Mus musculus: one gene and its partner. Each later gene encodes a partner of the first gene's protein in a complex. Links are inferred from orthologs where the notes say so. Each region holds a gene or a part of one and is shown on either strand. Other genes may lie near its edges.

The links.
Region 2: the proteins of Oprl1 (region 1) and Pnoc are in contact, whole or in part, in a cryo-EM structure (PDB 8F7X), measured with the Homo sapiens proteins. The link is inferred for Mus musculus from reciprocal best matches to the Homo sapiens genes OPRL1 and PNOC. Residues at the interface, in NP_000904.1 of Homo sapiens: Gln107, Asp110, Gly114, Phe115, Trp116, Val126, Ile127, Asp130, Tyr131, Met134, Gln192, Glu194, Ile198, Glu199, Cys200, Leu201, Val202, Ile219, Val279, Gln280, Val283, Gln286, Gln291, Pro292, Ser293, Val298, Leu301, Arg302, Thr305, Tyr309; in NP_006219.1 of Homo sapiens: Phe130, Gly131, Gly132, Phe133, Thr134, Gly135, Ala136, Arg137, Lys138, Ser139, Ala140, Arg141, Lys142, Leu143.

Annotation. Positions count from the first base shown.
Region 1 is NC_000068.7:181,713,432-181,718,039, forward strand, and holds the start of Oprl1 (nociceptin receptor), read left to right. Parts: upstream 1-1,584; 5' UTR 1,585-1,798; intron 1,799-1,916; exon of another isoform or gene 1,917-2,258; 5' UTR 2,259-2,291; coding exon 2,292-2,515; intron 2,516-3,070; coding exon of another isoform or gene 3,071-3,104; intron 3,105-4,523; exon of another isoform or gene 4,524-4,608.
Region 2 is NC_000080.6:65,401,276-65,405,086, forward strand, and holds part of Pnoc (prepronociceptin isoform 1 preproprotein), read right to left. Parts: coding exon 3,474-3,811; 3' UTR 3,429-3,473; intron 587-3,428; coding exon of another isoform or gene 501-586; 3' UTR 1-500.

The DNA of each region.
Region 1 (4,608 bases):
AAGAGGCTCTGTAGAGGCACAGAGACAACTTGGTTGATAACTCTGAGGTTGTGTGCCAGCTTTGCCTGGAGTGGGAGGGAAGAGGGAGAGAGAGAGAGAGAGACAGAGACAGAGACAGTAACAGAGAGTGCATACCTATGTACTATATATCTAGGGGCCTTGCTCTGTGCCTGCCTGTTTCCACACTAGTTTACATCCTGTTTGTATCTTTCTCTTTGTGCCTGCATTCACTTTGTGAGTTTTGTATATGTGATTCTTGTGTGCACCTCTGAGCACATATCCCTTGTGTCTCTGTGTCTCTATACTGCGCCTGTCTGGGTATCTCTGTGTATGTTCTGTTTATTTGCAGGAATGTGTCCTCATGTGTCTCCTTGAGTGTCCATGTGTCCCTGAGAATGGAGAGACAAGTCCTTGGAGACAGCTTGGGATGCTGAGTCCTGGGGTGTCTGTCTGCTCTGGCCTTTTCTGGTTGGACAGGTATCCTAGCAACACTTCTGTGAGTTGCCTAGCAACCAGGTCCCCATCCTTAGAGAAAGAGCAGGGTCTGGCTGTATGTGGGAGATCTGGCTCTCATTCAGTACAGACAGCAAAAGCAAGCCTATGATTTGATGATGGCTAGAGACTCAGCATAGGGTCTCTAGCCTACATGACCTTAACTTACGGCTTTTTTTTCTCAGTGGACTGTGACCCCTTGTGCTGGCAAAGAAAGAGGAGCTTAGTATCTCTGTGTTTTCTAAGATCTAATTCTGGGAGTTAGCTGTGGTGTAGCTCCAAGTGACCAGCAGACCTGGCTTTCCTTTACCATGACATATTGACAGGCAGCTTCAGACTTCAGAGACATGATGCTTTCATTTGTGAGGATAATATGGGTGGTAATGGCTACATGCAGTGGGGGTTCCTGGGTTCAGTTTTGTCTTGGGCTTAGTGTACATTAGGTATAAATAGCACATAATAGATTCAGGGCAGTATTTGGTCCTTAGTCCAGACAATCTCTTGCTTACTTGCAAGAAAGCCTTTCCTTGGAGAATTAGTTGGGTTAGGGTATTGCTGTCTATTACTGTGGTACTCTGCTTTACTGGACAGTTCTGGGCAGGAAAGCTGGCAAAATATGGTCTGGGCTAAGCTGGACAAAACAACATTTACCAGTGATGGTGGTGCACGCCTTAATCCCAGCACTCAGAAAGCAGAGGCAGACATATCTTTGAGTTCCAGGACAGCCAAGGCTACACAGAGAAATCCTGTCTCTAACCCATCACCCCTCCAACAAAACAAAACAAAACAAAACAAAACAAAACAAAACAAAACAAAACAAAACAGAACAAAACATTTTCCTCACATCTGCCTCTAGGTGAGCATTTCTCTGTATACATCTTAAGTGTGTTCTTGTGTCTAAGGCTGTGCATGTATGTGTGTCTGAGTTCCTGTTCATGTCTCCATTTTTGTGTTTATAGATGTCTCCACTGTGTGTCCCAGATCCTGAGTGTGTCTGTCTTGTGTGTCTTGTGTGAGCCGATTTTTTTTTTTTTTTTTTTTTTTGGCTTCCTTCTCCAACCTGCGCAGCCCCTCCTTCTCTCAGCCGCAGCCTTCTGCCCCTCCCCCTTCTGGCTGCCGCACTGGCTGCTGCGTCTAGTCAATATCTTATCTTCGGAGCAGGAGCTAGGAGCCATTCCCAGCCGGAGCAGACCCCAAGCTAGAGTGAGAAGCATTACTCAGTTCATTGTGCTCCTGCCTGCCTTTCTGCTAAGCATTAGGGTCTGTTTTGGCCCAGCTTCTGAAGAGGTTGTGTGTGCTGTTGGAGGTAAGAGGGGCTCTAGTGAGGGCTCCTGCTGCTGCTGACAGAGCTGGGGGTGGGGGAGCACTGGGAGGTAGGGAAGTGCCTGAGCCCTAGGCATTTCTGGGTAAATTCCATGTCTTTTGTGCTCCAGTGTGCCTTAGGATGGTTTGGGCATTTTTTTGTATTCGGCTGACTGTGAGCCCCTGAGTCTTGGTGGGTGGACATGTATGCTTGTGTAGCTACCTCCATGTTGCTTCTGTGCGAGTCTATCACCCTAATATGAGGTAAAATTGTGAGTAAATGTGCCCCCATGCCTCTGTGTGTGTCATCATGTGCCCATGTGTATGCCTTTGTCTGTGTCCATGTGTCTGTGTGTGGATGCCCATCGAGGTGTTCATGTGCCTGTTAGTGTAGTTGTGCTGTTCTAAGGCCTCAGTGGACTGTGTCCAGCACTGTGGTCACTTCTTTCTGTGTCCTGTTCCAGGAACTGTACTGAGTGGCTTTGCAGGGTGACAGCATGGAGTCCCTCTTTCCTGCCCCATTCTGGGAGGTCTTGTATGGCAGCCACTTTCAAGGGAACCTGTCTCTCCTAAATGAGACCGTACCCCATCACCTGCTCCTCAATGCTAGCCACAGTGCCTTCCTGCCCCTTGGACTCAAGGTCACCATCGTGGGGCTCTACTTGGCTGTGTGCATCGGGGGGCTCCTGGGGAACTGCCTCGTCATGTATGTCATCCTCAGGTAGGCGGGTCCCATCAATCTGTGAAGGGGGAACCTGAGGCAGGAGGCTGTTCTGGATGAATTCGAACAAGCATGGATTTTCTGCTTGCTCCATCAAATTTCTTCCCTCTCTGTTCAAGGGACATGATCACCCTTGAAGTTCAACTCCTGTTCTGCTCCCATCTGTCTCAGACTAGGTGTCACCACCTGGAGGCTTGGTACTGCAGATAAATCCATGCCGTGATGTCTATGTGAATAACCATGGGTACAAAGGATCCTAAGATTTCCCAAAGAGAGGAAGAGGGGCTGGTGCTGGGCCTGAAGCCCTTGTTCATTGGCCTTTAGGATCTATGCTCATGGTGGATGTCTTTAGCTGAGCCCATGCTCTATTGGTGCTCAGAAATGGGAAAATTTGGAGGACTACAAAGAAAGACAGCAGTACTGGATGACTGAGGTAGCGTCGACGGTGAGGGGAAGAGGGCAGTGTGAGGTACAGTTCTATGGACAAGAAAGCTGGGCAAGGAGTATGCAATTGGTAAATGTGTGGTGGCAATGATGGTCTCTGTTTTTTTCCAGCTGGGAGGGCATTGAGGGGAACTGGAGACAGCAGGTGAGGACTTGAATGCCAGAATGGGGACGCCAAATTCTTTGGACATTGGGAAGACATGGGAGGTCCTTGAGTGGTGGATAACTAGAGCAAGGTTCTTCACTGATATTTCCTCTTTCAAAAAGATGACTCTGAAGAGAGCAGTCATGGTTCCCTTGATGGTATCATGGTAGGTGTGGTATTGGTAGAGGAGGAAGGGGCAGTACAGTGTCCATACCCTGCCTCATTATGGTCCTCTTAGTATTTCTGAGCAACTGTTTTCTCTGTTTGTTAGATGGGAAATGTGGATTATATAGTCATATATAGGTGCATGTGCACAGACGTGTGTATATATATATATGCTATGTGATTGGAAAAGCATTCCAAGTATTGACTTTTGGCAGAGGACCCTTGTGGGAAACTATTCTATGATCCATGTGTCTCATGGTTAAAAGGATATGTCTTTGGCAAGACGTGCAGCAACCAGGGACAGTTTGTGAGCCTTGCCTTTCCTTGTCATCAGCATTTCTCTCCTATATTGTCCTCTGCATTTGGGATATTAAAATTCTTGAGCCATTTACTGCAGTAGAGTAGAGAAGGAACGCCATCTTTTCCACCAGCATCCCCAGAGAACTAGTCTCAGAAACTGCTGTGGCTGCACTGGCTCAGGAGACAACACACGGCATGTTTGAGTTGGATGTGTGCCAGGAGTCAGAAAAATATGCTCTGAGCCCCATTTTGCACCTTAGCAGTTCTAAGCCTTATGAAAGCTACTTAGTTCCTCTGAGTCTCAGCTTCCTTCTCCACAGCGTAGAGATTAAATGGCATTTTTGCTTTGGGGTAAACCTCAAATGAGATAAAATCTATGTGAAGAGCTTGGCTCAGATATCTACCATTATCATTAACATTGTTATTTATTGTAATTAAGGTCTCTGGGATTAATGTCTAAGAGACAGAACTTAATCTCAGATTCCCTGGTAGCAACTAAACATCATGGACTACTGTTATCTCTAGTGCTACCACCACCATACTGCCATAACCACCATAACCACTATAACCACCACCATTACCACCATCACTTTCATCATCATCACTATAGTCACCCTTCCCTACCACTGTCATAAACATTAATTCATTCCACTAATATTTATAACTTATAATGTTCCTAGCATGGTTCCCAGTGCTTGGATACAATCAAACCTAACTAGCACATCTCCTTTTTTCTTTATTAGAATAAAAAATATTGTGTTTATTTTTGGGTATGAGTGTTTCTGCTGGATGTATAGGTCAGATGAGAAAGTTGGTTTTCTCCTTTTACTATGTAAGTTTCTCCTTCTACCACATGTGTCCTGGAAATGGAACTCAGGTCATCAGAATTGGTAATAAGTGCCCTTACCAGCTGAGCCATTTGGCTGGACCACCATTTTCTGTTTTCATTGCTAGACAACATTGTGCACTTGGAAGATCTTTGATGAACTTTACAGGCAGTGCCCTGAAAACCCTCTGAGAGGAGTCTTAAGAGAGACTG
Region 2 (3,811 bases), on another chromosome or scaffold:
AAAAAAAAAAAAAAAACAATCAGGCAACTGGGAAGATGGCTCAGAGGTTAAGAACACTAACTGCTCTTCCAAAGGTCCTGAGTTCAATTCCCAGCAACCACATCGTGGCTCACAATCATCTGCAATGGGATCCGATACGTGTTTGAAGACAGCATACTCACGTACGTTAAATAAATAAATAAATCTTAAAAAAAAAAGGCAGCAAGTTTATTAACCATTTGCTCAGTAGAAGTTTAATGGAGAAAGTTGTTTTAAACGATCAGTCAAAAAGAACAGCTCTTTTACAAACAAGTTATGGCAGTGAAGAGGCAAAACCCCAGGTCTGATTTCATGTTCCTCTCACCTGGCCCTATGAGAGGGCAGAAGATGAGTGAGAAGATGGGGCCATTAAAATGTTAGCTGGAGAAATTACAAAAATACACTCTGATGTAGCAACAGGATCATGGTGAGACATGCCATGAGGGAGGGGCAACAACCGGGCAGGGAGGTGCTGTGGGTGCTCAGTGCCTCGGGGAGGGAGGAATCCTGACTCCCGGCCTGCAGGTCTTGGAGTGGACACATGCTGTACGGGGGATCACCTGGATGCCTGGGGAGACAGAAATGATTAAAATGTCAAACTCGATAGGTCTTCTGAGCCGTCCACCCTGTTTGCCCATGGAACTAAAGCAACCCAAAGTAGGCCATTGCAGCAAGTGGTTCCCAAGTGACCAGAAGGGGGTCCTTACTTGATGCCCTCCACCTACCTACCACTTTTGCCTACTTCTGACAGGGGTGATGCATTGGATAAAAGGGAGGGTGATGGACTGTGACATAAAAGGCACAGTGACATGCCTCTTAACTGTAACAGTCATCTCTCTCCAGTTCTTGGCACAGCGTCTATGTTAAACAGAGTCCTTACAGTTCTCTTATGTGGCTTATCTAAGTTAGATGTCGTGACTGTGGGATCATGAGTGTGATGCCAATGTCTAGAAGGTCAAGACCAGATGCAGAAGAAGAGTATTGGAAGTACAGGTCAGAGGAGAGGCTGTCCCCAAGATCTCTGTCCAAAGCAGGGTCTGCACTACTGTGGCCCATCTCCTAGGCCATCATTACACTTGGAATAGGTTCTCCATTCCACTCCAGCGTTGGGTGGCCCCCTTTCTTCATTCCAATCTTCTGAGCATTGATTGGCAATAGCATCTTAGACGCCAAGAACAACTTTGGCAATGGGAGCTGGCTAGCAGGGGAGGATTTCTATCACGCACATGGCAGGTTGGGCTGTGTGTATGCACATAAACACAAGGTCTCCTCTGGCTGTGCCAGGCTTATTAACAAACATCCACTCTGGAACTCAGCACCATGCATGTGGAGGAGGGAGGGGGAGGTCAAAAGGGAGAGAGACAGAGACAGAGTCAGACAGAGACACAGACACAAAGAGACAGAAAGAGACACAGAGACAGAAAGAGACACTCACAGAGACACAGAGACACAGAGAGACAGACACAGACACAAAAACAGAGACACAGAGACAGAAACACACACACACACACACACACACACACAGAGGGAGGGGGGAAGAGGGAGAGAGAGAGAGACGAGAGGACAGCCATTAATAATACCCAAATGAGCTGGCTAATGTATCCATGAAGAATTTTGCATGTTAAGCAGAGAAGCCGAGAGAAGGAGCTTATTAGCCCTGTTACAGCACCTCTCAGCTGGAAGTATAATAGAAAATCAGAAAAACCAATTGTCTGGCTCAAATAGTTTGCTTGGTTTTTTTTTCTTTTTCCTTCCAAATAAATTGATTCTTGCTAATGGGACTGATCTTAAACTGTAAAGAATATTGCTGTGGTTTAGAGTTAGATATGAGCTTTGGTGTCCCTTAAGAGCCCCTTTGAAGAATGTCATTAAGATTTCGAAGGATTCATGCTACTTCTGGAAGATTTACTACTAGATATCAGATAGGTCTGGCTTTGAAAGAAATAGACTGCTTGCCAAGAACAGAAGTTGTGACTTCAGCGTGTGCAAGTTCACTTGAGATCTTCAGAGATGAATCATTCTGTTAAGATAAATGCAGCAACTGTCTCCCCGAAACCTAGTAAGGGTGTCCATTTTGGGGGATAAGCTTGCTGCAGACAAGTAGCCTCACAGCTTGGGCTATGCAGGCTGTCTGTATGGGAGAGTGTGGGCACCAAAGATTAGCATATAGATGGCTCTACCTCGAAAGAGGATTATGAACGACATGGCTGCCTTGGGTGCGCAAGAAGCAAAAAGGGGCTGCATGCTTGTTTCTTCTCTGCCTCAGAAGTGGGGAATAGCTTCTGTTGGGACAATACCATATTGTCAGACTAACTGGTGCTTTTGTATAAGGCGTGTCCCCCTGGCCCCCAAGCTGTCTCAGGAGATGTTTACATGAAGGGGCACAGACCTGACAGTTGGGTTTTTTCTAACTGGGAATTATTAATTTCTAATGCCAGTCCACAGTAGTGCACTGGTGAGAGTTGGGTTTGGAGTCAGCCAACTGTAATTGGGTTTCTCTTCTGAGTTCTCTGATAGACTTTATATGAGTGTGTGTGTACCGGAGGGTAGGAAAAGATCACAAATGTTATCCTGGAAAGAGGCAAAAAACTGAAGGAAAAAAAATTCCTTCATTAGTACATATTTTATAACTCACTCGATCCGTTAGGTGAAATCCTGGAATCCCGGTTCAGCGAGGACGCCATTAATGATAAAGAACTGGTCTTTCCTTGGCAAAGTGCCAGGGTAACCAAAGTGTTAGAGGAAGAAATGAGAGCAAAAAGCATAACTCTGGGTCTCAACAAAAAGTCTTTGGCAAGGGCAAATGGGAAATAGTAACGGTTTCCATGGAGTCCAGCCACCTTGCGATGCAGGGTGAGGTGGATAAGCTGTCTTTGAAGCAGAACGGTAATCGGCCTCTTTGCAAATGGCTAAGAGGAGGGCTGGCTATTGGCTTTTTGCAGATAAAGTCTCTGAGGAAAGGTGAGCTGAATGGTTGCTATGGTAACCGGCTGTTAGAATTGGTCCACTTAACTGTCCCCATAGTAACTAAGCTCCTGGAGGGCTATAGAGGAATTAGTTATCTTAACATACTACTATTATCCCCATGGTAACCAGTCTCTGAATGGGAGTGGTCAGCCTCAAGGAGAATGGTGGGAAAAACTTTGCTTCCTGGAGAAATGGGTAGAGAGGCAGAGATGTGAATTTCTTCAACCAACCAAACCTCTCAAGGACCGGAATCCTTGAGATGTGTGTGGGGAGAGGGATTGGGTGGTGAATGTGTGTGTGTGAGTGTGTGTGTGTGTGTGTGTGCGCGCGCGTGAGAGAGAGATTGGGGGCTGGCTAATGTGTTTCTAGGCCTGGGAAGAAGTCTGAGACAGCTGGGTAAATGAAGTCACTTCTTGCCCCCTGCTAGTTGGTGCCCAACTCACTCATGGGTTGCAGTGGCCGGTGCAGCTGGGAGGGGCTCCTTCTGGCTACACATTACCATTCTGGTGCAGGGTGCGCCGGCGTTGACTTGACTGCATGCTCAGGACCAGGTACTGCCTCATAAACTCACTGAACCGCTTCTGGTTGGCCAACTTCCGGGCTGATTTCCGGGCCCCGGTGAAGCCCCCAAACCTTTTCTGCAGCTGCTTCTGCTCCACCTCCTCAGCGTCATCTGCGCCAGGCTCAGCATCTGCGCCAGGCTCAGCATCTGCGCCAGGCTCTGCATCTCGCACTTGCACCAAGCTCCGGACACGCGGCATTCTCTTCAGGTGCTGCATCTCCGAGGCCTTTGGCTGGTAAAGAGCAGCTGACACAAGCTCTGGGT